4 linked regions of the Alligator mississippiensis genome follow. The protein of the gene in region 1 purifies or fractionates together with the protein of each later gene. This does not show direct contact. Links are inferred from orthologs where the notes say so. Each region holds a gene or a part of one and is shown on either strand. Other genes may lie near its edges.

The links.
Region 2: the proteins of SRC (region 1) and CDC37 purify together in Homo sapiens (affinity purification with mass spectrometry; 3 studies listed by BioGRID and IntAct, with this or other methods). This does not show direct contact. The link is inferred for Alligator mississippiensis from reciprocal best matches to the Homo sapiens genes SRC and CDC37.
Region 3: the proteins of SRC (region 1) and PXN purify together in Homo sapiens (co-immunoprecipitation; 4 studies listed by BioGRID and IntAct, with this or other methods). This does not show direct contact. The link is inferred for Alligator mississippiensis from reciprocal best matches to the Homo sapiens genes SRC and PXN.
Region 4: the proteins of SRC (region 1) and MET purify together in Homo sapiens (co-immunoprecipitation; 4 studies listed by BioGRID and IntAct, with this or other methods). This does not show direct contact. The link is inferred for Alligator mississippiensis from reciprocal best matches to the Homo sapiens genes SRC and MET.

What each region holds. Positions count from the first base shown.
Region 1 is NC_081832.1:17,296,007-17,302,955, forward strand, and holds the start of SRC (proto-oncogene tyrosine-protein kinase Src), read right to left. Parts: upstream 3,010-6,949; 5' UTR 2,964-3,009; coding exon 2,890-2,963; intron 1-2,889. UniProt on the Homo sapiens protein: Non-receptor protein tyrosine kinase which is activated following engagement of many different classes of cellular receptors including immune response receptors, integrins and other adhesion receptors, receptor protein tyrosine kinases, G protein-coupled receptors as well as cytokine receptors.
Region 2 is NC_081831.1:22,389,143-22,396,900, forward strand, and holds the start of CDC37 (hsp90 co-chaperone Cdc37), read right to left. Parts: upstream 3,016-7,758; 5' UTR 2,946-3,015; coding exon 2,844-2,945; intron 1-2,843. UniProt on the Homo sapiens protein: Co-chaperone that binds to numerous kinases and promotes their interaction with the Hsp90 complex, resulting in stabilization and promotion of their activity. Inhibits HSP90AA1 ATPase activity.
Region 3 is NC_081833.1:21,181,620-21,188,853, reverse strand, and holds the start of PXN (paxillin), read right to left. Parts: upstream 3,007-7,234; 5' UTR 2,866-3,006; coding exon 2,853-2,865; intron 2,842-2,852; exon of another isoform or gene 2,305-2,841; intron 2,212-2,304; exon of another isoform or gene 1,826-2,211; intron 1,492-1,825; exon of another isoform or gene 1-1,491. UniProt on the Homo sapiens protein: Cytoskeletal protein involved in actin-membrane attachment at sites of cell adhesion to the extracellular matrix (focal adhesion). Recruits other proteins such as TRIM15 to focal adhesion.
Region 4 is NC_081827.1:49,356,375-49,364,342, forward strand, and holds the start of MET (hepatocyte growth factor receptor), read right to left. Parts: upstream 3,011-7,968; 5' UTR 2,849-3,010; intron 1-2,848. UniProt on the Homo sapiens protein: Receptor tyrosine kinase that transduces signals from the extracellular matrix into the cytoplasm by binding to hepatocyte growth factor/HGF ligand. Regulates many physiological processes including proliferation, scattering, morphogenesis and survival.

The sequences.
Region 1 (6,949 bases):
TACACAGTTCCACCCCCCCCAAAAAAAAAAACACAACAAAAAACCTTACCCAGCTCAAAATATACATTCTAATCCCAGGTCCCAGAAGGCACAGTTAGTTCTGATGCCTTTGGCTCAGTCTCCTGGGGGAGCCTGCATGCAGTGATGAGGGCCATAGCCCAGTTAATTGTCTCTCCATAGGTACCTGGAGATGAGGTGCTCCTTGCCATCCAGAATGACGCTAACTAGTCCAGCTTATTTTCACCACCACTGAAAGATGCTCTTCACACAATAGGACTGTCTGTACTTAGTAATTAAAAGTGCCTCGACACAGCAGAATTCTTAGCATGATGCGAGTACTCAGTGCAAGGGATGCCTCGCTACGGCGGGAAAAGCCTTGGTGCAGTGATCAGCTCCCGCCAAAACTAGCAGTTGCACCATTTGGATGCAGGCTACCGATTGGCTCATTGTAAATTATTCATACCGGCGGCTAGCAATTGGCTCACTAGCCGTATAAAAGCTTGGGTAGTTTCCGCCCAAGTCGGAGAACTCCGCGTGTACGTTGGGAACTAGTTCCTCGTGTACCTTGGAGCAAAATTGGGGCCTGATCAACCACCAACCACTCCCCTTCGACGACCGTCCCGACGTACCCCATACCCTGCATGCTCAGAAAACATCGGTGATTTTGCTAGTGCCTACACTGTGTGCATCGTCGCAAGTCCCTGTACGTCAGTTTGTAAGTAAAGTTCTTTTCAATTCAACCAGTACGCGTTTGTGCCTAATTCCACTCCATCACAGCCCCATTCCGGCTATACTCGGCACCCACAAGGACCAGTCCTATAAAATGTGAGGAACTCCATGCAGCTGAAGATGCTGCAGGTCACAAGACAAGTCCCAGCCTTTCATTGGCAGGTCGAAGCAAGGGAGAAGGGACTGTGGTTGCCATGGCAATCTTGATGGTCATTTATGTCACTCAAGGCCTTTTGGTCCCATCAGTCCCGGCAGGGTCTCTCACAGAAGACTCTGTCCAGCAAAGGCCCTAACTGGGAGACAGAAGTCCTTGACTTTCTCCTCCCCCATCCGCTGCAAGCCACTGTTCCATGGCATCAGTCCAGGTTGCAGGCCTCAGCTGGGCAAAAGCCAATATTCAGGTCTGGCTCTACCACGCAGTGCACCATGAAGTTCCTTAAGGTAGCATGAAGAAGGTCACAGCACAATATGCATCATGGAGGTACACGAGCTCCAAGCCAGGGTCAGTACAGGCCAAGAGCCTATATGGCACAAGTAGTCACTAGAGGGAGGGCTCCATACTTGGCATAGGGGAAGATCCCCGTTTATGCTGTAGTGACCCGTGGCAACCCCTGTCCTTCCCTGGGTTTACCACTTTAAGAAGGATCCATTAGCTTTGTGCTGAATCACAGGAAGTACACTGCTCTGACAAGGCCCAATTTGGCATCTCCCTTACGCAGACATCTAGGGCTTTGGCTGCAAAAACAGAATACAAAAACCTTGGAAGTGCTGCAGGGTACTGGCTTGCACTGTACTGTTCTGCTGGGACAAGAGAGAGCAGTGCAGAGGCAGAAAGGAATACAGGGCTATTGAGCACAATGTACAGAGGCAAAAATAAAAAGCCAGGATGGAGGATAAGAGTGAGGGAAGTCTCAGAAGGTATGGGGCTGGTGGAGGGAACAGACATGTACCTCAGTCCTCCAAGGTAGTCACCCTTCCTTTGCTCAACATAGACTTGACACTTTCCAAGCTCTGTGCTGTCTCTGGTTACAAGTCAGCACCTTTCTGCGCTGCCTCAACACAACCCACCCCTGCTAATACAAACCCATGACCTACCATAGGGAGCCTAAACTAGAAGTAGGGCTGAACAACAGGTTCACACATCGTTAAGTCTAAAATCCCCTTTGTCAGGGTCACAGAAATTTGGGGAGAGAGGGAAAAGGCCTCTGGATAAAAGAGACTCCCTTCCCCACACAAGTGAATGGCTCAGGTCCAAGCAATACCAGCAGAAGCCCCACTGAGCTCCCTCGGGCTTCTGTTGTCTATATAGCAGATGAAGGTACAACTGCAGTACAGCTATGCCAGCCCACAACACCTTTATATTGCTAGTTCAAGTAGCAGTGAAGATATAGCAACATCAGCGTGAGCTGGCAGATCAAGTATGTGCTCAATGGCCCCATCAGGCCTGTGTTGCCCCCTCTTCACTGCCATCATTACCCATAGGAGCCTGATCAATGCTAGCTTGCCTTTGTTGTCTGCGTAGCTCTATCCTTTGTGGGCAAAGTGACTGCTGGTGCTCCAGCAAGGTGCTCCTCTCAGCAATGCTGCCAGCTTGTAACTCTATCCCTCCCCACCCCACTCCTTATGCAAAGGATGAGTCACTTCAGGTCACCCAGCAGGCAGCTTTCTCTAGCACAGTAGCTCTTAACCTTTTTTGTACCAGGAACCATTTGTAAACATCAATGGCCAGTCCAGATCCAGTGTCCCGTGCTCAACAACCTGCTGCCCCTGACCCCCAGCCCCCAAACATGTCAGGTATGGGGGGGCCTCCCCAAACAGCCCCTTGAAGGTTGAAACTCTACCAGCCTGCAAGGGAAAAGCCACAAATTCCCCCTTTTTTCTTCTTTAAAGGAGAATCCATTTTTAAAGTGTGTAGATCCATTTTTTAAAGTTTGTGACTCTTTCATATATTATTGTGAACTGTGGATCATGATCCACAGACTGAGAAACGCTGCTCCAGCAGATCTTTAAGAAGGACAAGGGACTGGTTATAGGTGGTTCAAAGAGAGCTGATCCTGGCCAGGAAAATCGCCACATTTTTGGCAGTTGTCACAGCAGCTAGGCAGCTGCACTGATGATGAAAAGGTTAAATGTGATAAACAACTTAATTCCAAAATCTACCTGCACAGACTGAAGCAGTATTGTGAAAGCAGCCCTAGAAGGAGCTCCTGATAAAAGCCTGAAAGGGTCAACATCTATTCCGTAGTACCAGGAAGGAATGTGCTTTGAGAGAAGCAGTGAGGACATATCAGGAATGTGCTGTGTGCGAAGGTCTCTGAAAGAGAGAGAGAGAGATCAGTGGCTCTACCAGGAGGAGGGAGAAAGAATGAGCCACAGAAGAAAAGAGGAAGGGGAAAACACAGCAGGTAAATCCAGTGCCCATTAGATAGCAGCCAGGCCAACTCCTACCTACCCACTCTAGCTCCATCTCTTTCAGCCCTGTTAAACAAGCTTCTGGGAAGTTACCAGATGAAAGCAGACAATGCTAGCACCAGCAGGATATAGCCTCCCTGGGGAGTGGCTAGGCGCCCCCCCGAGTCACAGCAGAGCCAGAGCAGTGCCAGGCACAACCCTTTGATGCAGGTACTGCTGCTACTTCAGGAAGGAGCCAGCACTGCCAGGGCTCCTGGCCCAGCTTTCCAGGCCCTGGTCGCAACACACAAGGAGGGAAAACCCAGCCTGGTAACTGAAAGTGTACCAAGATCCTGGGTGCAAAAGATAGATGCTTCAAAACCAGACTCCTTCTCAGCCCTACAGCCATTACTGTGCATTTGTGTTGGTAACGCTGAGTTCCACTCATGGACCAGGGCCCCAGAGGCACAAACAACCAGCTCCAGCCCCAAGGAGCTTACAGGCTAAGCTCAAGTTCCAAACTTTACGCAAACTGTAAAGTGGTCACCCATGGGCACATCTCCACTGAAAATGCACTGCAGGGTAATTAGCATGTAGGCAGAATTATTAGCTCCACAGCAGCACTATTGCAGTGAAGCTATGCCACTTCCAGAAGCAGTGTGCCTGGAATGGTGCAATGCGCTTGAGCCTGCCCCCACCAGGAATGGCAAACTTTTCAAGCAGAGCAAGAGAACCAAGATGGGGCAGAGAGAAGAGTGGGATTACTTCCCTGGACAGTGACCAGAAACAGTTTATGATAACATTTTCTATCCCCTCCCCAATCTCATTTTTTCTCATAATCAAACCACCCCTACTCCCTGCAAGTTTAAAGCATGCAGCAATAGAGGATGCATTTGATTATGGGGAGAGAGGGAGGGATCTGTCATCCCTGTTGACACCTGGTTTATCAGAGATTAGGATTGCAAAGAATGTTCACCACAATAGGGCTCCCTCCACCCCCCCAAGGTGAAGTGCAGTGCGATGGAAAGTGGCCAGCATTCCAAAACACTCATTTCTGACTGATTAGACATGGCATAATAAGGCAGGCTTTTCTGCAGCTGGATTAGTACACAAGGCACGTTCAGGCCTGCAGGAGCTCTTACTGTTTCAGCTGAAGGGAATAATCATAAGCGACTGGTTGGAGGTTATGAGTGTACTGAGCCGTTAGGCCTCAACTCTGTCCCCTACACCCCAGATAGAACAAGAAATCACAAACAGTTTAAACACAGCTGGTGGTGTCTGCTGTGGAGATGCCGACAAAGATGACAACAAAAGAGACTTCCCACCCACAGCAAAGTGTGGTGCTCCGTCAATTGCTTCAGGTCCACACACTCCCTGGTAGCTGGGCTGAGACTTGGGATCTCAACACCTTTAAATGAAGGGGTTAGCCTCGCCCTCGTTACAGCTGGTTGTATGTTAAATGGTTGAAGTTTAATGCCCCCTTCACCTCTGCCCAACTAAGTAGAAGCATCATACCCACCTCTGTCCAGCTACAGCTTTTCAAGGGGTGGGGCAGCAGCAGGCGAATTCAGCTTAGGTCCTCAGGATCCTGAAAGATACAGGGGGTGAAAGGTTAGCGCAGGGTCTTCAACACACTGCTCTCTGTTTGCTGCAGACAGGTCCACTGGGTCTCCCTCCCAGCCAAGCTCATAGTTCCCTGCACTCCAGATGGAGATCAGGCTGGTGCCTTTGTTCCCCTAGTCTTGCCCTCAGCCACCCTGAGGGAAAGACTGCCTTAATCTAAAGTCCCAAGCCTCTTTTCACTCCCACCTTCTGCAGGCTTGTTACCTTGGCAGCTCCTTGAAGTAGAGGGCAGCTAGCTAACATCCACCTCCTGATCCCTCATGTGTGAGGAGCGGGATGATTCTCTGCTCCACTTCACTGAATCAAGAAGGAAAAGATGGGGAGGATGGTTGGTGGCAGCCCAGAGCTATTGATCAAGCTTATGTCTGAAAGTCTCTCTGCCTCCGACAGAACGCAGTTACTACAATGCATGAGGAACTATGCCCCGAGAGAACCAAGCTGGCCTCCCTAGTACCCAGAACTGCCAGTTCTCTTTAGGAAGGAGAGAAGTTCCATCTCAGTGGGTTCACACACAAGCTCCATGTTGTACTAAGTGAGCAGGGATGTCATGACCAGGGATCTGAGTTTTGTTTCCCCAAGGGAAAAACAAAAAAACAACCCCCCCCCCCCCCAAAAACAGAGAAAACCACGTATTTCCCTCTTCACCAGAGGAACCCATGGATTTTGCAGTTTTGCAAAGAGCTCTCTGCAGGCTGGCATTGTTATAGCTTGTAAAGGGCTAGGAGAGGGCATCCTGTGCATGTATATGCACATGGGCCCAGGCAGCCTGGAGAGCAGGTCCCACAGGTAAGTGTGAAGGGGGGAGATTGAGGCCCCCATTGGGAGGAAGGGAGTTGGGCAGGGCTAGGGCTGCAGCCCAGCTAGGCAGTGCATGGGGCTTGGAGCCTGAGGATGCAATACATAGCTGCAGGGCCCTGGCAGGGAGTGGGATGGGACTGTGGGCAGCTCATATGGGAGGCAGAGGGGGACGGTTCCCCACCATTGCGTGCACTCCAGAGGGCCAAAGGGACCCGCATCCCCAGACCTGTTCATGGGGCAGGAGTGGGAGCAGGCTGCCCACTGCAGGCTCAGACTCCTGCCCTGCTGCCCTCCCCGGGGCCTCTGCAGCCCAACAGGTGAGACCCAGCACTGCAGGGCAGAGTGAGGCCATGCAGGAAAGCGGCTTACCACTGTGAGCTCCGCGCTGCCCTGGTGCATGCTCCCTGTGCATGTGGTAGCAGCAGGAGGCGGTGGAGCCCCTCACTGTTGCCACGCATACAGGGGACTCGTTGCCAGGGCAGCATGGAGCTCGCAGCAGCAGAGATCCCTCTGCGGCCCCACTCTGTCCTGCAGTGCTGGGGTGCACCCACTGGGCTGCAGAGGCCCTGAAGGTGGGCAGCAGGGCACCCTGCCCACATCAGGGACCTGGGTCCCTGGCCCTGTAGCCCTGGCAGCTGGGGGTCCCCTCCGGCAGGGAAGGAAAGCTTAGGGATAGCATGGCCGAGAGCAAAGTACACAGCCCAGCAGAGGATTTTGGAGTGTTTGGTTGGTGTATTTTGATTCGCTAAAGCTGACTTGCACCACTTGGATCCCATTGATTGAGCATGCTCAGATACTGCCACCACTTGGGAGCAACCTAGCCCTGTTTTCCTTCCAGAGGCGAATCCATCGTTAGCCTCGTCAGAAGTGCCACCAGTATCCAGACACAACATGCACCCAGTCACTTCTCTCCATTTCCCCATGTGTCATGCCTCTAAGCAACTGTCCATGCTGAAATTCTGCCTTCCATTTATTACTACACTAACCTTCACCCCTGTTGGGGATACCAGGAGGAATGGAGGAGCGCTAAAAAAAGTGCTACATAAAAAACCCAGCAGACACTTTACACTTGCAATAGCATCTTTGAGAGGAACACAAAGCACTTTATGAATCCCCATACTGACCACTCCCAGACCTGCTAAGCCTCAGCTGACCTCTAGAACTGGATGAAAATATTACTGAAAAAAATTCTGTTGTAGGGAGATGAGGAGGAAGCTGGTTCAGAGAAACATATTGGTCCAAAACTAACCAAGAAGAGCACAGGTGTAGGACATGCAGCTGGGAGGCAAGAGACCTCAATTCAGGTCTCTTGCTCTTCATGATTCAGAGCAGGCACTTAAACATAGGTCACCCAGTCTAGCCAAAATCCCCTAGACTCGCTTATCTTTTCCCCTATCTCCATCTGCCC
Region 2 (7,758 bases), on another chromosome or scaffold:
CAGAGCACAGGTTGAGTCATGTCTGGAGCTCAGGGCAGCATTTTCTGCTTTGGGAGCTCCTGGAGGGGGTGTAAGGCCAAAGCTTCTGCCTGCCACCCAAGGCCACTGGGAGTGCTCTACCACAACAGTCATGTGCCACAGCTTCAGCTCTGGTGCATATCACTGCTGAGGCTGGAACTACCTCAGCCAACGGGGTGTGTTCCCAGCCCTGGACACAGCTCCACCCAGGACAACACATGTGAAACACAACCTCTGCAGTGACCTGGCCCAAGCATGAGGCTCTGTTAGTCCCTAGGGCACGTGGGATGCTGCCGTTGGAGGTCATCTGCTAAACTGGGACCTGTTAAAAATACCTGGACTTGGCCCAGTGCCTCACTACACCCCAACCCCCAGGCTGGACTGCAGCTAGTAAGCTCACATTAATATCTCAAGCTAACAGCAGTATCTACAGCTATGGGGGCCAAGCTCCTTGGCAGGCATGCCATGCGTCACCCCTACGCCCTCCCCAAGTGCCACTGTGATCCCCTTCCCCTTCCTGATCTACTCCCTGCCCCACCTGCTGCTGCGCTGCCTGTATCCTCCCTGATCTGCCCCATGCCACAGCTTAGCCATCTCTGATCTAACCCTCTTGCAGAGGCTAGTGGAATCTTGAAAAATTAAGTCTCTTTCCTGCTGGTTCCCAAATGCTAGCAGCTGGGGAGAGAGATAGGGTTACCAGCTAAAGAACAGGTCTCCACCTAGAGAAAGATCCCTGGTTTGTCACAACAGAGCTCACCTGGGATATTCCTGGTGCTGTGTTAAGCCACTTCCCTCAGCAAGGACTGAGCCCTGTACCGCACAGGAAGCTTGGGGTTCTCTTCCAGGAGCTGCCACTGACCCACTGCAAGGACTCAGGCCTTGTCCAGGGGAAGCATCAGTTTTCCAAGCTCCCGCTTAGCTCATTTGGGCTCCCAAGTGCCCAGTTCCACTATTCCTTTGTACAGTTGCAGTTATCTACAGCCCCAACCTCCCCCTCTGCCAGCATTGACCCCAGCAGCCTCTAGTATCAAGGAACATGTCTGAGCCATGGAGAAGAGGCCAGAGGGGGACAGACACCAAGTGTCTACAACTGCAGATACACAGAGGCAGTCACAGACCAGTCGCGCACTGGTCTCTCTCCTCCCTTGTACTTCAGTCTCCCTGCCTGTACTATGGGTCTTTACCTGTAACTCAGGCTCCACATCGTAAGAACATATAACACTCCCATCCCTGTTGTTTTACCATGTGTCCATGGAACCTATTGGCACCTTTTCCTGTAGCCTCCACACCTGAGGGAGGCTAATAAAACACTTGGTGAGCTAGGCCCATGTTCTTAAAGGTGACAAATAGGCCTATGTCACACTGCAACGGAGAGCAGATGCTAGAAAGAAGAATGAACAGGGGTTTTCCCCACTGTTCCTCTCTTGCTTGCAGCCTCCAGCATTTAAGGCCTACGGAGTTTGGATTCAGAGGCTCACTCCTGTGCTCAGTCACGACCAATGCCCTTTTCCTCGAGATCTTACAAAGCAGCTGGGAAAAGAGGGGTCACCAGAGAGGCACTAATAGTGAGGCACTAATAGTGAGGCATATCCTTGGGTGGGGGAGAGGTCCAAGAGACACCCCTGAGCACGCACTGCTGCATGCAGTCCAATGGGGCCGGGCCACAGCCAGGGCTCGGGGCACCACTACTTTCCTGGGCTGGGCACATGGGAGGCTGATGCCATCCCCCACTATGCCAGAGATGCGCTCTGCGACACAAGCCAAGTTCCTCAGCCTCACAGCTCCCACCTGCACAATGGGATGGCAGCACTGCCCAACTGCATGGGGCTGCAAGGACTGACGCTGTGAGACTGAGGAGCTCAGGGGCCAAAGACAGACCACATAAGAGCAGCGTTGGCCCTTTTCACAGCTAACTGCAATGGTCAGTCAGCCAGGATAGCCAGGCCCCAGCCAGGACTGCCAGCTGGCACCATTCATTTGTGCTGGGCCGGGCCGGGCTGGAGGGGAGATGGAAATGACAGAGATGGTAGCAACTCAATTGAGCAGTGAGAGACATTCCAGGTTTGCTGGCTGACAGCACAGGCAAAGACCCTAGCCAAGGACTCTGCAAGGGTAAAGTGGACAGGCTGCCTCCCAAACCAGGCAAGATGAGCCATGCAGGGGGTAGGGCGCTGAATCAGGCAGCACCCTCAGGGCAGGAGCAACTCAGTCACAGCACTGACACAAGGGCACAGATCCTGGAGTTTCCTTGGGGCTGTGCATCTGCAGCCCCAGGAAGACCAGGCCTGTCCTGAGCTAGAAACACAATCTTGGGGTCAGGGGTTCTTAGGGGAGCCAGGCCCACAGAGAGGAGCACGTGGGACAGTGCAGAGCACAGCACCAGAGGAGCAGAGCAGGGGGGTGTCTGTTGGGATGGGGATCCCATGGGGAAGAAGTAGGGGGGAACCCTGAGGACAAGGATGAGGTGTGGGGGACACCTACAGAGTCTCTACAAGGCTGCCCCCCGGGCCTAGTTTCCGTGGAAATGGGTCTCCTCAAAGACTTGTCCCTGGGGGAGAGGCTTGTTCCTATGGGGACAGAATGTGACCCCTAGGCGGGGGCGGGATGGAGGCTGGCTCCCATGCAGACAGACCTCCCAGGGGGATTCCATGGAGCTAAGGGAGGGCTCCTGAAGGAGGAGACAGAGGATCTCCCCAAGGCCAGGCCCGGGACGGGGGTTCCATGGAGAAGGGGTAGGGCTCCTGGGGAAGCCCCCCAAGGCCTGGTGCGGGGGAGGTGGTTGCCATGCAGGCAACCATGGGGGGCGGGGGGAGCTCTGCACGCACCTGGTGCCGCCATCGGAAGAGACTGGCGGTGTCGATGTTGGGGTGCGTCTCATCCTCATCGTCCGACACCTCGATATGGTCCCACACGCTATAGTCCACCATGGTTGCGCAGGGCCGGCCCGCGCCGCTCCCGCCGGGCCCTTCTGGAACCCTCCAGCACCGCGCACGCCCACTTCCGCCCGACCTCTCATCACTTCCGCCAGCCCTCCCCGCTTTCCGTTCAGCAGCCCGTTTTGGCTTCCCCGGCGCCACTACGCACGCGCGCCGCTGCCCACCTTGTCTGCCCTGTGGGGAGCGGGTGCCTCCCTTTGCCGCGCATGCGGGCGGCCAAGAGGAGCATCATCCCTCCCCTCCCAGTTGCTTAGTGTGCTTGCATCGTCGTCCCAACTCAAGATGGCGTGGGCATTAAAGGTGTACACACCTCAAGTACAGTGTGATGGGAGGGCTTCCTTCCATGTGTCTAACGTGGTGGGAGAGGGAGGAGAGTCCCCGGATGAGGCACATGCTGGGATACCTCTCCAGGACACATGCGGGGAGGGGGAGGGGACCCCCCACTGCTACCCTCGAGGAGGGGAAGGACCCCCTGAGCTATGCACAAGTGGGGTGGGGCAAGGGATTGCCCCGCCCACCCCTCCTGCCATGCACATAGTGGGGGAGAGGAAAGGTCAGTGTGCCCTCCTCCCCCCTATTTTGGTGCTTACAGCCCCCCAGCCCTCATCCTGCTTTGGTGCTGGGGCTGGCCATGAAGGGCCTGGTCTGTGCTACTTTGAGGCATACCTAGCAACTGCAAGCCAGGAGCTCGGGGCTGGATCCTTCAAGGCTGGACATGGGAAAGCCTCCTGGCCTCACCCCCTCACAGCTACTGGCGCCTGCCATGAGGGAAACCTGGTGCCTGCAACCATAGGGGTTGGGAAGGGCCAACCCCTCCCCACTTGCATCCATGGCCAGAACCTTGCATGGACTCAGGACTGGTCCCATCCATTGCATTGGTTGTGGGGTTGCTCTGAGCCTTGTAGCCGCTGGCAGGGCGGAAACATGAGTGCAAACACATAAGTACACATGTTCCCTGCTGAAGGATCTCAGCCAGATATAGATTCCCCCCTGGCTGTCAGCAGCCCCCAAAGCTGGGGGGACTGACTAGGAATGGCTCAGACTCCAGGAAAACACCTGTGCCCAGGTCCTGAGTCTCTTTGGTGGTGTTTGAATTCTGTCTCCCCACCTCCAGAGGCTGGATGCAACCCCCAGCAGATTCCCAATGTTTTCCCCACTAGCTTGGTCCCCGCAGCTGCAGGTCACCCAGTTCTCTGCCCCACCAGCCCCTCAGTAAGGAGTGTAGGTTTAGCCATGCCAGGACTGTCATCGCTTCATCAAGGCTGCAAACAGCGCTGCCCACGGCCACGGAGCTGTTGCTTGGAATTCCAGCCTTGTACCAGCTCTGCACAGCCTGGAAACTCCTTCCACTTATAGTTTCATATTAGGTAAGGTCGGAAGGGACCTGAGCAGATCATCAAGTCCACCCCCCTGCCATGGGCAGGAAAGAATGCTGGGGTCAAATGACCCCGGCTTGGTGATTATCTAGCCTCCTTTTGAAGACCCCCAGGGTAAAGAAGACCCCTCCTTTTGAAAACTCCTTTTGAAGACTCCCCAGCTCCATGCTTGGGCTCAGTGGGCCTTGATGCAATGATATCTCAGAACCAAGGCCTGAAGATGGATCCCTTCATGGCCTGTGACTGCGATGGAATATAGGACACAGAATGGGTGAAAGGAGCTGGAGGAGATTCCTCCTGCACCAGAGGTAGCTGCATGTCAGGGTGGTGGGCAGCATGGACTTCCAGTTGGGTCCAAAGCCAGCAATGCTGAGTCCCTGCTTCATTCCACGCTCCCAAACCCCCTGGATCAAAGCTCTCTAGCCCTGGCCCTGTGATGAGACCTCACTCCCTGACCTGCTCTTCCTGGCCAGGCTGCTCTTAGAGATGCTTCCAGAGCTCTTAACTGTCTCCCAGGCAGCCACGTGGAGGAGCAAGGGAGGCCTGCAAATCCCACATCCCCAGTACCATCATCCAGAGCAGCAGCCAGGGCCAAGCTAGGGGATCTTCCTGCCCAGGGTGATGCTGCAGTGGCCCTCAGTGCCCCCCAGACAGATCTATACCCCCTCCATTGCAGCAGTGGCCCCCTGCACTTGGTCACTTCCTATCATGCTTCCTTCCCCCTCCCCCGAACCCCAGCAGAACTTTGTGCTGTTTCAAGGATCTGCAGACCAGGCAACAAATGCTGGCAGATCCCCCTTCCCCAGGCTCCTGTTTTTTGCCATTCCAGACCTTCCCCAGCACAGCCAGGCCAGTGCAGGGCTGCAGCTGAGCTGGTGTCTGTCCTGCTGCTAGCAAAGGCTGGTGCCAGGCCATGCTGTGGTGCATGGGCTGTGTGCCAAGGCAAAGGCCTGGCATGGCCAGGACAGAGCCTAGGGGAGCAGGCAGGTGGCAGGAGCATATGGCAGAGGCCATGGGGAGCCAAAAGGACTGGAACAAGGCCTGCCAGTGGTGAGCACTACCCTGCAGCCACTGAGGCCTGGCTGAATTGGTGGGGGTGGGGCAGTTCAGACCTGCCACTGCCTCCCTGCATGGCTGTGGCCACATCCCCTGACTCCTGCAGGTTGCAGGTGTGACCTATTGGGTGGCCTTTCCCTCCCCCAGGCTGGATCCAGATGCAGCAGGGCTGCTGCAGCACGGTGTCTCTGCCAGGGACCCCACAGACCTTGGTATGGCCTGCCTCTTGCAGGGCCTGTGCAGGGCCTGGCACCATCAAGGTACTACCAGGGCAGGCCTCCTGTTGACAGCTCTGTGACCTGATCACAAGGCCGTGGGAGAGAGTGGAGAATCAGATGGGGAGGCAGGATGCCTGGGTTTTGCCCCTGCCCTGTGGGGTGACCCCCCTGCCTGCCCCCCCAATCCCAGAGCCTCAATTTCCCAGCCTGGTCTGTGTCTGGCAGCTGTACTATGTGGGCTGCTGGTCTGGTGGGGAGTCTCCCCAAGTTTGCATGGTCCATGCAGCCCCATGGCTGGGAGGAGCATCTGCTCTTCACCCCAGTGGGCATCCCCAGGGCCCTGGGGCTGGAGGGTGTTAGTATTTCTGCTTCCATTGATTTCCCCTCCCCCCACCATGGTCCAGGGTGTGGTGCAAGCTTGACTGCCCTTGACATGTTGCCCCATGGGACAACTGCCCTGGCTGCAGCTGGCTCTCAGGCAGGAAGTAAGTGGCAGCCCCCAAACCCCCTTCCAAAGTAGGGGGAAGAGGCAGGGAAAGACAGAAGGGCTTTCCTTCAGAAACCCAGGCCTGGGACCCCCAAGCCCCAGCCAGCATGGGGCTAGTGGCCATGAGAGCTCGATCCCAGCCCCCATCCTGTCCCTGGGAACTGGGGGAGGATGAGTTAGAACAGCCCCGATGCTGCTCTAAGTGACACTCAAGATGTCGAGGAGCCCCGGGGGAGGAAGAGATGCAGCCAGAACCCAGACCCGGCCCCCAAGCTGCGAGGGGAAGAAGGGAGCGACCTCGGGTGAGAGAGGCAGGAATGGAGGGGGGTGCAGGCAGGGCCGGGCTGTGAGGGGCGCCGGGCTGGGCGTAGAGCAACCCGCTGTGCGCCTCGGGGAGACGGTCCTGCCCCCGCTCCCCCGCCCCGGGGAACCAGCGCCGGCGGCTCCGTTCACACGCTCTGGCCGCTGCCCGCTGCTCCTAGCGCCCAGCACTCGCTGGGAACCCTGGCGTCCGGGGCACGGGCACACACACCCCCGGGGAACCCAGGCGTCCGGGACATGCTCACACACACGCAACCCAGGCGTCCGAGACAGACCCCCCACCCCCGGGAACCCAGGCGTCCGGGACACACACGTCCCCTCCCGGGGGAACCCGGGCGTCCGGGGCACGCACGCACGCAGACAAACACACACACACGCGCGCACGCATACCCGGGGAACCCAGGCGTCCGGGGCACACACGCGCACACACGCGCGCGCGGGGAACCCAGGCATCCAGGGCACCGCGGCGGTGCCTGGATGGGAGGGCGGTGCGCGGCGCCCCGGCCCGGCGAGGTAAGGGGCAGAGCCGAGGGCGGGGGGTCCTGGGGGCGGACCGCAGCCTCCCCCCGCCCGGGGCCGCTGGGGGGCTGCTCCGGGGTTCGATGCTGCGGCAGCGCCTGCGAGTCTGGCATCCGCAGGCGGCTGTATAGGGGGAGCCCGGCTCCGGCTCCAGGTCCCTCCGGCCCTAGCGCTGGAAAAGGCAGGGACTCCAACTCCGCGGGGAGGCGGCACAGGATGGAGGCGACCACCACCTCGGTCCCTGCCCGGCTCCCCCCACGCGGTGCCAGCCGTCTGCGGAGGCCAGGCTGGGGCCAAAATCCGGCCCGGAGCAGGGGAGATGCGGGTCTGAGGTCGTTGGGGCCTTGGGTGGGCCCCCTCCCTCGGGGGTGAAAAGGGTTAACGCCGCACCCTAACATCACCCCAGTGGGGTAAGACTCGGCCCCAGTTGGGAGGAAGGTCTTCCTACCTCCACCTGCTGCTCCTGCCTCAGTTTCCCTTCATGGGGGTCCCATGCTTGCCTGATGGGGCCCAGCCTGGATGGCTATGGGTCAGTGGCATGGGTGGGGAGCAGGCAGGCTCATGGGGGCCTCGGGCCTCCAGCCTCTCTGGTACCCCCCGTGTGGCACCTCAGACCATCCCCAGAGGAAGATGCATGTCCTAGGTCTGCCCCCCCCCCCCCACACACACACACACTGCCCCACCATCCTACTGCTACACCCGGGCATCCACAGAGCCAGCCAGGGAGCAGGCAGCTCACATATGCTAGTCAGGTGTTCCCTGACACAAACCCGCCATATCACATAGACCCCACACTGCAGGCACTGCTTGGGGAGTCCCCTGTGGCT
Region 3 (7,234 bases), on another chromosome or scaffold:
CAATCCCAAAAAACAGCACAGAACCAGAAAGTTTTAAAGTCACTAAAGAAGAGCTCTTAAAAAAAAAAAACAATTTTCAAATGTGACTTACTAAAATAATTAAAAAGCACAAAATCTAGTAGAGGTTTGCAAAGTCTGCAGCTCCATCCTGTCAATGAAGACAGTTTATGGGTACTAACATCTACCTCAATACTTGAAAATCCAAATTTTGTAATGATGTGTAGTCCACAAGAACCAGAGACAAAGAATTCAGTGAAACAGACTTTTTTTGTCTAAATCACTGGTGCTCAACCTCCAGTCCACAGGGCTCTCCATGAGTTTGGAAATTTGGTGGCAGGGGAGAGATGGCAACATTAACTGCTGTGGCTCCCCTGCGGGCCAGATGACAGTCCCATGCACTGAATTCAGAGTCACTCCATAGCCAAATCCACTTCATGACCAGATCAGGCACATGGAGTCAGGCCAGCGCATGGTATCAATACACAGTCAGATCCAGTGCGTGGAGCCAGATGGGTGTGCCAGACTGCACCTGCAGATGACCCTGTCTGCTGACCCTGGCTCAGGTCCATGGACTGATCTCACCCATGGGATTCATTTAGTCCACAAACTAGCCCCATTACCATACACCTAGGCAGCCTGCGGGGCCAGAAGGTTGCACACCCCTGGTCCAAACTAAGTGAAAAGCACCACACATCATCCCGAACAAAAAGTAATTGAGAGGTTAAAACAGTATCATACAAAGTTTGTTTGGTTTTTTTAATGAAGTTCACTGTCTAGTAAAAATTATATTTTATTATAGAAGGAAGAGCAATTCCTACACAGAGCTTGCTTCTGCCACGCTATAAGGAAAGACAAGGACACCTAATCAAGCTACATCTCCAATTGACTGAAGAACTGCAAATGTAAGACTATCCCCAGATGGCAGGTCCAATACTGTAACTACCTAGGAAATAAGTCAGGTTTCTTTATTGTGAGTGTGATAGATTCTAGTAAGCTGGTTATATGGATACCTGGTCGGACCCAACAGAGCACCACAAGCGCTCTCTTCAGTGTCTTAGTCTGCCATCTAATATAATCACAAGTATGAGTATTTGGTGGTTCTCATGCTGGGAGTGCCCATGTCATCCTTTCCTGCTGTACATCGCACTGCATTGTTCTCTAGTATTCTAGAGGCAGAAGAGGAGGTGATCCTGCAATTAGGGCTTTCCCTCCTTTTCAGACTGTAATTGCAGTTTACACACTAGTGGATAATATTTTTAAAAGAAACTGGTTCACTGTCATTCTTAATCAGCATTCAAGCATGTCCCCATCTTGGAAGATCCAGACGAGATGTGTGTCCAGATCTGCTAACTGCTCAAACTCCTCACCCTTCCCCCAATACGGTCTCACACAAAGAACACGCAGGCTTCCCACTTGCTGGGACGGACAAGTGCCATCTGCAGAACTCTTCACCAGCGTTTCCTGCACGCTGCAAAACAGATTTCTCCGATGCTGGAGAGGAAAAGGAAAAGCAATAGCAAAGCTTTACCTGTTCTAGATTACCCAGTCCCTAAAAACCAATCCAAATCAAGTCCCTTCACCTGCTGTGTTCAGCTTTTGAGATCTCCAGTCCCAGAAGCAGGAAAGCTGCACTCTTGCTGGTCATTCTTTTTTCATTAGATCAAAAAGTTTAAAAGATATAGGGCCAAATTCATCCAGCGTGTAACTGCACTCACTTCAGTGGAGCCTGAATTTGGCTTGCACCACTCAACACACTGCCCCTCCCCTGTATATGACCCAAGGCTAAGACTTTGACACTACCATTGCTCTGCAAAGGAGAAAGCAACTAGCCTTGGAGCTGGGTTGTTTCTTGATGAAACAGTCTGTAGGCAGGAAAAGTTATTAAGAGGAAAGAAGTATTTCCCTTTTCTGTTTGTTTGTTTTTCCTTCCATAAAATATTCAGACCTTGCCTCTTCCTGCAAGACTCTATGGACAAACTGAGAGCTGGTTGCCAGTAACACAAGAGTGAAACCGGTGCTGCTCAGATAGGAAGAGATTTTTATTCAAACTGCTTAAAACTCCTGCTTTGTTGCTGCTTGTGCTCTACATGCTTCACATCTAACCAGAAAGGACTAGTTAAACCAAAGCATGAAAAAGCCTCAAGACCTCTAAGAAGTCTTCCAGAACAAGCAGAGAAGAAACTCAAAACATCAGGCATCCATCCCCCTAAGGTAAGAAACAAATAATAAAACTAAACTAAACTTGGGGGGAAGGGGTGGCTTCTCTACACATGGTAAAGCAGTGCAGAGAGGACAGGAGCCCACCTTTCCAGACCACCTTTGCAGTTCACCTTAAATCCTCCCACTGATGAAGGGGGGGAAATAAGCAACTGCTGAAGTAAAGCACAGGTCAGTTGGCAGAGCCCCCCCGCCGCCGCCGCCTCGGTGAATCTGAGGAATGCAACAATTGCAGCTGGCACCGCTCAGCTCCCACGGTGTGAGGCCATCGCCGGCTCCGCACCGGCCCGGCCCGGCGCGGCCCGAGCTGTCTGCGGGCGAGCAGCCGCCAGGGGAGTCCCGCCGGGCAGTGCCGGGCCGGGCCGGAGCAGAACCACGTCCTCGGGCCGGGGAAGAAAGCGCAGAGCACGGGGCGGCCTCCCCCGGGGCCCCAGGCGGGGAAGCCGAAGCGCGCAGAGCCCCGCGCCCCGGGGCTGGAGCAGGCCCCCGGGGGCCGCCCACGAGCCCCGGCCGCTGCGAGACTCCCGGAGCGGATCCGGGCCGGGCCCGCGGGGAGCAGCTCGGCCGGGGCCGGGGCCGGGGCCGCGCGCGGGAGGAGGCTGCGGCGCGGCCGGGCCGGGCCGGGCCGGACTCACCCAGATCGTCCATGGCAGGGCCGCTCCACTCCGCTCCGCTCCCGCCGCACAACTTCGGCCGCCGCCGCCCCTGCTCTGCTCTGCTCTGCTCCGCTCCGCTCCGCTGCCGGGCGACTCCCGGGCGGGCTGCTGCGCGGGGCCGGCGCTGCCCCCTGCCGGCGGCCGCCCGGCTCCTCCCTCACGGCGGGGCGGCCCCAGGCACCTCCGCGAGGCCCACCCCGGCGCCCCGCGTACCTCAGGCCCGGCCCACGCGAGCGCCGCGCCCGCAGGCGGCGGGAGGAGGCGGCCGGGCCCTGCGGGCTGTCCGGAGCACGAGGCCGCGTCTCCCGAGGCTGGCGGGGCCGGGGGCGGTTCGGCCCGGAGCCGGGATCGGGCCCTGGGGACGCGGGGGCGAGCAGGGTCTGAGACACTAGAAAGGGCAGAGCGAGCACTAGCACGAGAGGGGCACGGAAATACCCGCCCTGCTCCTGGCTGCTCAGGCCTTACCCTGAATCCAGCCGAGGCAGCGCGGTGTGTATGGATGTTGCTTGGTGCAAATATCAATCAAGCTACAGGTTTGGGCACATCATGGACTTGGTTAAGGGGGGAGTTCCCAGTAAGCGAGACAGCGCGCACTGGAAACGCCACGTGCGGGTATTGTTCCCTTGCCGCTCTCTGCCAGTCGACTACCACTGGTGTCACGTGCTTAAATGCTCCCTGGAATAGAGAAGTCCAAACACAGAAGGGGAGTTTTGCTGCAAGGAAAGTCTAAATTCACCAGCAGAGGTTTTCTTCCCCTGCCCTGCCTCAGCCGCTGTCTGGAATCAACAGATCGCTTCCAGCGAACAACAGGCACCTTCCCTGATCTGCATCAGGCTTGGAACAAAAAAGGATGCCGTGTTGCATTTGTAGAGAAGCCGAGTTTGCAACTGTTATCTTTAAATTCATAGAGACATTTAGCAGTCCAGAGTTTAGTACCAAATATAATACATTGTAAAGCAAGAAGCCTGTGTCCCACAACAAGGACACCCAGGTAGGCTAAGCCAAGCTAATTTTTAAGCACTCAGTTGAAACAGATGAAGGCAGATTTACTGTCAAATATATCAGTCCTGTAGCAAACAGTGCTATTAAGAAGGAGAATTAGGGTATGCCCATAACAGGAAGTGTTGTAAGGACAACAGCACAGATGGGGAGATCCATTAAGATGTACAGCACAGGGCAGGAGTAAAAAGCAGAACAGCAGATCAGGCAGGGGAGGGGGATCAGAATGGCACTAAGGGAGGGTGTGGAGCTTAATTTGGGTCACATCTGCTGAAAAGGTTGGCCCTCACGATAGTCAGGCACCACTCTGTAGCACAGACACAGACGAGCATCACTTGGGTGCAGCTAGTCATAGAGAAGTAGAGCTAGAAGGGACCTCCAGAGGTCAGCCAGTCCAACCCCCTGCCTGAGGCAGGATCATCCCTGTCCAAACCATCCCATACAACCGTAATTTAAACTACATCAGACTACCCTCAACCCTGACACAACATAGACCTAACACCCTAACCTGCTAACTACAGGTAAAGCAGGGGAACCACGGCAGCCAGCATCCTGCTTCTGTGAAATGTTGTCAATAGACTTCTTTTATATATATATATATATATATATATATATATATATACACACACATACACATCATCTAGTATAAAACTTTCCATCACACCTTAAACCACATTAAGAAGCTGTGCACCCATTACAATAAATGCACCCACTCCCGTGCGCCCCCGCACACCGACCCATTGCCCTTCCCTAACCCAACTGCAGTCCTTTTGTCCAATCTGCTGGTTTGGAGTTTACATTCTCAGTTCATTCCCTGTCCTTGTCACTGTTGACGGCACTGTCACTTCCGCTGCTGATGATTCTGATGCTGTCTTCCTCATTGTCTCCAGGTCCAGTTGTGTCGTTGTCCTCTTCATTCTCCCTGTCTGCTCTGCCTCCCAGGGGGTCTTTGAACCAAGGGCCAAGTGTCCCTTTTCGCTCAAGAGGTCCCGGTAGAGGGCCACACCTTTCTGCTACACAGGAAAGCAAAATATCTCCACAGTCCGTACCAAGCACACAGCCCACAGTGTCCTGTTATTCAGCCCCTGGTGTTGCCCCTGGGTCTCGACTGACCCAGACCAGCCCCATGAGCAGAACCCAGGATGCATGCTGCCAGCAGCCCCCATTCCAGATGCTCTGGGAACTGTACTGCACACAGTGCTCACCCCAAGCATGAATACCTGGCACATGTACACTCACTGACCTTGTGTTTGACTCTCGGCAGAATGCCAAGAGGAAAGATGAAGAAACATTATGTGAGGCAAAGCAAGAACAGAGCAATAACGACAGGAAGGAGGGAGAGAATGACCGGAAGTCCAGGGGCAAAGGGAGGGATATGACACAGGGGCAGGTCACTGTGTGGGAGGACATTGTTATAAATTGCTGACACATTTTACTCCAGTCTACCTGGCAACCTCTGGAGAACACAGTCTTTTGAAACCTCCCGCCCTTGTCTTCCCCCGAGGTCATAGGGCGTGTCTACATGTGCTTCTATGCACGCCTAAACTTAATAGGCAGCTAGGATCTGGAACCAGCTTCCAAGGGAAGTGGTGCTGGCTCCTACCCTGGGGGTCTTTAAGAGGAGGTTTGACGTCTACCTGGCTGGGGTCATTTGAGCCCAGTTTTCTCTCCTGCCCAGGGTAGGGGGTCAGTTTTGATGATCTACAAGGTCCGTTTTGACCCTACTTCTATGAATCTATGAATATGCATTTGCCTAATGAGCATCAAGGCAATTTAGGTGTGTGTCTACAAGCATGTGCTAAGGCACATTAACGTGGCGTGAGGACTGACTCGAGACTAAAGTGAGTTCCAAGTCAATTGACATATACTGCATTAATGCACCTTAGGGTGCTTACATATTCATTAGGGCACTTTATCTATTTGTGCCTAAATTTGATCTCTGTTTTTGCAGGAATCAAATTTAGGCATGAATAGCCTAAAATTGCCATTTTTAAGGCACAGTAAGGGCCCACACATGTAGATCTGTGCCCTTAATGCACCTTAAAAATAGCTAATGCAGCTTAAATCAGCACGTGTAGATGCACCCTATGGACATAGAGTCATAATAGAACCATAGAAAATTAGGCTTGGAAAGGACCTCAAGAGGTCATCTAGTCCATTGGTTCTCAGCCTTTTTTGTACCAGGACCCTTTTATAAACATCAATGGCCAGTCCCACCCCAGTGCCCCTCGCTCCTAACCCACTGGCCCCCCATCCCCAGGTCCCAGCCCCTCAGTGTGTGGGGCTGGCATGAATGTGTGGGGCAGGGAGGGGCAGTGTGGGTCCCAAGCAGCCCCTTGCAGGCTGGAACTCTTCTAGCCTTCAAGGGAAAAGCCACGGTTTCCTACATTTTTCTCCTTTAAAGGAGAATCCATTTTTTAAGTTTCTTTTTCCATTTCTAAAGTTTGTTTGCAACCCTTGCATATATTCTTGCAACCCACTTTTAGGTCACAACCCACAGGTTGAAAAATACTAATCTAGTCCAACTACCTGCACAAAGCAGATGGACCATCCCCAGCTATATCATCCCAGCCTAGGCTTTGTCTACCCAGGTCTTAAAAACCTCTAAGGATGGAGATTCCATGCCCCACAGGTTGGATTATCTTGATATCCAACTGTTCCCTGCTTCTAAGCCAGATATCACTTTGCAATTCACATAAGTCCTGTTTGTATGTAGCTCTTAGCACTAGTTACTACAGTTCTCCAGTTACGGTGCAAAACTCCATTGGATCAGCATGGTGAGCTGCAGCGTTTCTCAAACTGTGGGTCACAACCCAAAAGTGGGTTGCAAGACTATACAAAAGGGTCAGAAACAAACTTAAAAAATGGATTCTCCTCTAAAGAAGTAAAACATGGGAAACTGTGGCTTTTCTCTTGCAGGCTGTAAGACTTCCAGCCTACAAAGGGCTTCTTACCACCCCCCCACCCCTGCTGCCCCACACACTGGGGAGCTGGGGCCTGGGGACAGTGGGTCAGGAGTGAGGGGCACTGGGTCAGGACTGGCCATCAATGTTTACAGATGGGTCCTGGTACAAAAAAGGCTGAGAAACACTGAGCTAGAGGACATCCTCTCAACAAGCTGGCAAGGTGGGAGGGGGAAATGACATGAGTTAACTTTGCATTGAGCCATCTCCTTACAGAAAAAAGTGACTGCACTGCTGGGGAAATGTGCCAGATGAGCAGTGCTGGGGAATGAAGTCATCTCTTTCAGAGCAAGTACAGCCTACAGAATAATAGTGCAGGTTTCTTCATTTCAGGCAGAAACAACTAATGTTACTTTAAGATTCAGTGCCCCACATCTGTTGCCCTCAAAAACACAGAAT
Region 4 (7,968 bases), on another chromosome or scaffold:
ACTGCTAAGAAAAATACAAACATTTTAGAAGGGAAGTCCGACACAACAGGACCCTCAGGATATGACTGTGTAAGGAGACATGGACAGGCAATGTGGATAGATGTCATGCACTGTGTCCAGTGTGGAGTTGTAATACACTCCAATGGAGAATGTGGCAGTGGAGAATTACACGTAGATTGGGAAAATGGCAAGAACATGGCTAGTAAATCTTTAAATTGTGTGAAGAGGTACAAAGACACAATTGCAGACTTAAGCCATTGGAGACCAGATGCACAGGACTGGGCTGTTGGCCCATAATGGACTGTGACTCTAACTCCGTGTCACTGGTTCAAATACAGCCAAGAGGGGAAGTGACCACAGGTGTTGGAAAGCCTGTTTCACAAACACAAGCAAGAGAGTTGGGGTGAGGGGGATAATGTACAAACTAGAAACTACTATAGGCTTGTCTGAAGTGCCAGACATCAAATACCCCTGTAAATATCTACTCCCTTTCACATCCTCACAGCATCTCCTACCTACCAACATGCCACATAACTGGGATTCATAAGGTATCTTGAAGTATGGATTTCTTCCTCTCAGGTTTGTGACCCTACCCAGAGCGGTGTCAATCACAAAAGGCTCCTGAAAGGCTTCCCCAGTTACTGGTTAAGTTTCATACATGTAATCACACAGGAAGTTCCAAGATACATTTTGGGTGCCAGGAGAGGCTGGACCATGTATAGTTGTGCTGTTGCCATTTGGATGGGGGGGTGATGATCTCCCAAACCCCCAATACACACATCTGGGGGCCAACAGACCCTCCTCTCAGATAAGACAGCCCGTGAGGCACTACCTAGACCACAGAAGTAGCCCTGGAGCCAATAAAAAAGAGGTCATCAGGCAAACTCCAAAAGATCCCAAAGGAGAGAGGGGGCTCAGGACCAGTACAGGGGAAGGAAGATATTAGGGGCTTGTGGAGGGCTTATGGGAGAGCAAACAAAGTTTGCTAATTCAGCTTTTTGTTTACAAACCCTTCAGTGAACCTGTGCTGAGTTCTGGGTTTCTAACTGACCTAGCCCTTAATTACTTTTCACTGCACTCAGTGTTTCCCATATGGCTGTACATTGCACTGTCATCAACTTTAACCCATACACTGGCTCCACTGCACCTTCATAAAGCAACCCATTAACAAGAACAGCAGCAGCTTTGTTTTGTGATGGTCATAATTCTGAAAAACAAACACACACACACTAATCCAAAAAGATTAAAGACCCAAAAAAAGGAACAGCACTTCCCTGACCTTTTGAAATAGACTGATGTGAATGTAAGAGGAATTGTTTTACATATATTGTATCATTGGAAGAAAGAGCTAAATATGTTAAGACTGGTAAAGGATTTTATGTGGCTACAGGGGGTTTAGGGAGGTAATGGGTGCAAAATAATAATAGATGAATTCTGCACAACTCTTGCAAAATGGGAATTTCTTTGTTCTTTACTGGATAATGTAATGGAAATATTAGCTGTAAAGCTCTAACCAGCTCTTAGAGAGGCATGGGAATATTTTATTTTGCCTGAGTCTGTTTCCATGCTTTAAAGGTCTCAAAAATGAGCCCCAGTTATTTTCTACTTGCTAGCAATGCAAAAGGACTTTTTGGATGAAATGTATCAAAAACAAATGAAGTACTACACTATTTAAAGATGCCTATGGGCAGAGGGGAGGGGCATACACTACAATTTCTTGAAGAAATTCCTTTCCATTTCAAATGTAACAGCTTCCAAAGAATTGCCCAGATGTTACTTAAGTGCTGGGTTATTCAAATACGAATCAGTATTCTAGGAGGGACAAAGACTAACCTAAAGACTTACACTTTCTGTGACATGCATTAATATTTATAAAGCATGGGCCATCTAACTTCGTGCTGAAGCTGGCACACTTGTCCAATGCTCGGGGGGTGGGGGGGGGAGGAGAGGAAAAATTGCAGTATAATGGCAAAATCATAATTGCCTGAGATCTGCAAAATAATTTGGACTATACACCACAGAGGTCATGTGACTGAAACCAGATCGACTGTCACCAACTGGAATATTTGATCCTCACCTTAAACCCGAACGCTCAAGATGTGTTTGACAAACAACTGGCAAAACAGCCGTGAAGCCTCTGAGTCTGCTGTGCCTTTCTGTCCCAGCAGCACAGACAATTTTCCCAGTGCTCAAATACCAAGATAAGCACAAAGGCAAACAATACTGTATTTACCCAACTCTAAGACGAGGTCTTTTCCTCACTGAACATCCCAGAGACCTCGTCTTCGAATCACGTTGGAGGGTGGTGAGGGCAGGGGGCTGCTGTGTGGCTCAGCTCCAGCCCCTACACAGGATCAGGCCACAGCCGGCTACTGCCTGCCCCAACCCCAACCGCAGCCCTGCGCTCGCCCACCTGCCCCTCTCCCTGCCCTAGCGGCGGGTGGGGAGGACAGGCAGCTCGCCCCTGCCCCACCCACAGCGGATGAAAGACGAGCCTCCGAAATTCATTGCTATGCCTGGAACAGGAGAAGCCCTGTCTCGATGCCCCAAGCCCACACTCCGAGCACTGGGAAGGGGGCTCGGATCCGAGTGCACCCGCTGACCCCCAAGCCCCGGCCCGTCCCGCCCCACGTGGCCCCGAGCGCGGCAAGTGCCAGTCTTCTCGGCGCGGTCGGGAGCGGGCTCGGGGCTGCAGGCAGGCTGCGAGCGCCGCCGCGGCGATGCTAGGGCTGCACGTGGGGCGCGAGCCCGGCCCGCTCCCGGACCGCCGCGCCGCGCCGCGCCTGGCCGCCCTCCCGCCCCTGCCGTCGGGCGCAGCTCCCGGCCCCGCTCCAGCTCCCGCGCATACCTCGGCGCCGGAGCAGCTGCTCAGCGCCCGCCCCGCAGCTGGAGCCGCAGCATCTGGCCCCGTCGCCCGGGCTGGCGCGGGGAGGAGGCGGGGGCGCCGGGCACCTGCGAGCGCTCCGCTCCCCTCCGCGCGCTGCTCTGCGGCGGCTCCCGGCGGCGCCTCACCGCTCCCCCGACCCCGCCCGCCTGAGGCTGACCTGCCGCTGACTCACCGCGGCGCTGCAGCCCGGGGCAGCCCGCCCCGTCCCGCCCCGCCCCGCCCCAGCCCGGCCGGCTGCCCAAAGGGCGGCGCCCCGAGCCCCCAGGTGGCGGGGGTGGAAGGGCGGGTGGCAGCGCCGCGGGGACTCGAACCCGCGCTAAGGGAGCGGGCTCCGGGCTGCGGCGTCTGCCCTCTGCCGAGCAGGTGGCAGCCGCCGCCGCCGAGCGAGAGCCGGGCGGCCTGGAGCAGCCGTCGCTGCCCCCACACCCAGCCCCGCAGCTACAACAGGCTTCTCGCCCCCGTGCAGCACGACTCTGCTGGCCGGGCGCGGCGCGCACTGGGGCCAGCTGCCGTCGACAGCAGCGCTTCTCAACCTTGTCTGGAGCAGGACAGACCCATTTGTAAACAGCCGCGGCCAGTCCCTGCCCCAGGCCCCGGTGTGTGGGATAGGGGGGACCCCAAGGAGCCCCTTGCAAGCTGGAACCCTTTCAGCCTGCAAGGGAAAAGCTGCGGTTTCCCACGTGTTTCTTCTCTAAAAGAGAACTTATTTTTAAAGTTCATTGGCACCCCTTTCCTATATTCTCGTGACCCACTTCTGGGTTGTGACCCCTGGGATGAGAAATGCTGATCTAGGGCTGCCTCCAGGAGCAGACTTGGAATCGCCTCAGGCTGTCAGACAGCCCCTGTGCCCAGGCCACTGGGATGGGATCCTGAGACATGCCGGAGGCTGCAAGTGAGAGAGGAACAAGGGGGAAAACCCTGGTGATACCCAGGTCACCTTCCATCCACTCTCAGCTGGTGTGTGACAGGCTTTCCATGTGCCATTCCCCAACGTGGGCCAAAGCCACCATATAGAGCTATAGGGCGCCCCCTCTCCCTCCTCCCTTGATGAGGGGTCCACTAAGGGCCCATCACTGACACCATGGGACAAGTCAAGGACAAAAAGAGATGGGAATGAAGGTCTGTGTGACACAGGATAGTGGACAAGATGGACCTATGGTCTGACTCAGTAAATGGCAGTTCTTATAGTTTAGGACTTAGTCATGCAAGCCAACCAGAAGGCAAGTGTTGTCTCCATTTTACAGGTGGGGAATTGAGGCACTAATCAAGGGATTAAAACACTCACACAAGGTTACACAAGGAGTCTGTAGCAGAATCAGTGTCTCAGCTCCAGGGATAATTGTTCTTAGTAACAATTTTGGACAGCTACTGATCAAAACCAGATTTTAATGGAAAGACTCCATATCCCATTAGCAATCACTGGACACAGCCACTCACCTTTTACATGTTATAATATAAACCTATCACTTTTTAATTTTGCCCCCCAGGTTTATTCTCTTTAATTGTGCTACTAAACTCAGTAGGAGCTCTGGAGGAGTGGGACAAGGAGGATGCTGCTGCACTTCATGAATTGCCACTGGGGGGTGGGGAACGGGACCCTCGACTTTTAAAATAGACATTTTTGTGGGGAAAAGTAATTTTTAAAGAGTAGATTTTTTTTCTGAGCCTGAGTTGTCACACTAACTTTTGTACATACAAAAATAAAGCTTAGAAAACACTTCTTTCCAAATGCAGCCAGCCAACCTACCACTATATGCATCAGCAGCACTTTCACAATGTGTTTTTTGCCTGTCTCATATGAACTTCCTGGCATTAGAAGTAGAGACATCTAACCTAGTTGGAAAATAATTCACTGACAAAAAGAAATAGCTCTGGAAGCAGTATGTTGCCCTTTTCTATTTTATCTGCTTACTTTGCGAAATCTTTATAATATCTTGCACTTCAAATAAATGCCATAAAAGAATATTCTGATTATTTTAATCAGAAGAGTGTACTACTCATCCAATAGCTACTGCATTTTTAAAAGAGTAGTTTTATTTACTGTCTTCTTATTTGAAAGTGCTGATGATGTACTGGGAGATGTACAAAATGAAAATAAAAACAGGCTTGGCCTCCCCAAAACACAGAATCTATAAAATGAGCAAGCCATAAAATAGTTTGATTAAATTGTTGAACGTTGTTTTGAGGTCAGTAGGAATCCTTCTATTTGTTTCAATGGGCTTTGGCTTAGAATCCAATACTGTAAGGAAAGGCGATGCGTTATTATTGCTAGTACTGAAAATCCTAATACACACTTGTGACTGTTTTATTGGTTCAAAGAACAGCCTTCCAAGGAGAACATGGAGGTTGAGCATACTGTATATGTGCCAAGCCTTAGAGACAGTTGCCTTTAGAGCATACAGGTAGACACGCTGCTTCCAGGAGAGAACATGTTGAGAGAGGACTTCACCTTCTGCGTGAGAGTAATGAATGTGTTCTCCTGCACTGCAATTAAACGTTGTCCTCCAGCTTTCCTGAACAACTGCCCTTGTGCCCCCATTCCTGGGTAGTCATTATCCAGTTCAATTAGTACATAAGTATGAACAGCTACATGAGATTTGGATACTTTATTATTTCTCAAAAGAAAAACTAAAGAAGAGCTCAACTGATCATTTGTATGTAAAGATAGCCCCTGTCAAGAAACAAATGATTCATTCTAGTCTGTTCTTTAGTGGCTGATGCACCTGCTTTGACTGAATAGCCTGCAGTAGAACTGTTATCAGTGTTACAGTCTGTGCTATTCTAAGGTTAACAAACGGATTGTCCCCAACATAAAAAGGAGAAACAGATGTTTCCTTTCAATTTTGACCATGCTGATGCCAAGCTATTTTAGGTTAGCAGTATGAGACAGTACAGTAGGGCTTAACAATCCGCAGATATGTTTTTGTTCCTAAGGTGATAGACATGACACCTTAGCAGGAGGCTGAGGCACTTTTCAGGAGCAGAGAATTGGTGAAGCAGGATCTGGCTTGCTTTCTATTTGTCTTCAAGTTCTTCTCCTGACTTCTTCTCACCTACTTCCTCTGCCTAATTTGAGCTGGTACTTTGCACTTTGAAAGGAAGGCTGGCACAGATATAATAAGCGTTCTGCATTTTAGAAGTTGGCTGCAATGGCAAAACAGTTCAAAAAAGAGGCAGAAAAATCTGAGCAGTCTGTTCAAATACAACTGGAATGCACTGTAGAGAGAACTGGACATCTGCCTCCCACCATTACTTGTTTCAATATAGACGTTGAATGAACAAGTCCAAGAACTGTCTAAAGAACAAGATCTTAGCCTTACAGTAATGATTTACAAAAGAAAGCTTTAGAGCTGATCTCTTCAGTGTCAAGGGTGGAGAATGAAAATGCAAAATTCCGTATTTCTGTGAATTACTAGTGTCATGTAACAGACACATTCATCTACCCTTATTTACACCAAATGACACTCTCGCAGTGAAGAATTAATATGAGTGCAGCTGGCAGAATTAAGTGGAGGTTAAGCACCTAAATACTGTTGTGGATCTTGGCCCTTTTTGCCCCAGTTGGTAGTTTAAAAAAAACTTATTATAAGAATAAGCCCACTGTGAATATTTGTATTAGAAAATATAATACTGAAGCTCCTTCAGACAGATGTCTGAAAAACTTCACTCTCTCACCCTTGTGCAATTATTTAGAATCAACTCCAAAAAATAAATTTACATACCTAAAGAGCATTTTAGATGGGTGTAAGCACCTAAGTTCAAAGCAATCTATAAAAACTCTGACTAGGTGCAAGTGTCTGAGGCATATACATTTTTGCCAGTTATTAAAACTAAAGTTATTATGGTGCCTAATATTTCCTTTGGTCAGAGGCATGGGTGGATCTGGGATTTTGTAAAGGGCATGCAAGCCCATTGATTAACACTGTTAGAATGGCTGCATCCCTGCTCCCAGGATGCCCTGGGACAGGGAAACCATGGACAGAAGCATAAGCTGGGGACTTAAACATTTAAAATTTTTTTTTTTCCTTTTTCCTTCCCCTCCATGTTCAGTGGCACATCCCCTCCCCACCCTTCCCACCCCCTGCTTGCTGCTGCTGCTTTCCATGTCCTTGGCTCTCACAGGGGTGGGGGAAGCTCCAGAGCCAGGCTGAATGGGGATCTGGGCTCAGCTATGGACAGCAGCAGCAGTGGCAGGTGGTGTCGTCCCCCCCACCCCCGCCCAGCCTGTTCCCAGGCTGGTGTGGAACACTCCAGGGGGAATCAGGCAGGGAGGAGGAACCCACCCCCACCACTATTGCCCTGGAATGAGCCTAGTTTTACAACAGCCTAGCTGGAGAGGGGCAAAAGCTGCTCTGGAGTTCACCCCACTCCCAGGGTAGCTGGGGACAGCAGCAGTGGTAGATGTGGGGTGGGAGAGGAAGGGACATGCAGCTGACCATGGAAAGGAAAGGGGGAGGGAATTCTTACCTGCTTTGGGGACTTAAAAAAAAGTCCCCAGCTGCTACTCCCATGTTGTAGTCTGAAAGGTGGTGTGGGGGAGCAGGAGTGCAACCATCAAACTGTACCCACTTTGGGCCCACCCTTTGAGAGGTGTTGCCATCCTGAGCCTTCAGTACATCTCATGCCTTTGGCAGGGGTGTCAAATATATAATTTGCAGGCCAGATCTAGCCCCTGGGGCTGTATCATCCAGCCCCCCGGTGCTGCCCATGGGTGTTCAGAGTGACCCACAGGCAACATGCTGGGTGCACTGGATGGTGCCACATGCTATACAGGTCGTCCGTTCCAGCTGGCATCCTGGAGCAGCGGAGTGGTACATAGTGTATGGGTACATAGTGGCTGTGTGCTCTAGGGCCGTGCTTTTTGTAGAGTCCTGCAGTGGCAGCTCTGGGGGTCCAGAGCTGTACTGCACAGCCCAGTGGCAGCAGCAGCTCCAGAGCTATACAGCAGCAGCTCTGGACCTGGAATGCATGGCTGGTTTGTGGGTCTGGTGTGACCTGCAGACCAGCTCCATGCCACTAATCTGGCTATGGTTGCCCCCTCACCCCTTTCAGATGACACCACAGGGCCAGATGCATTTGAT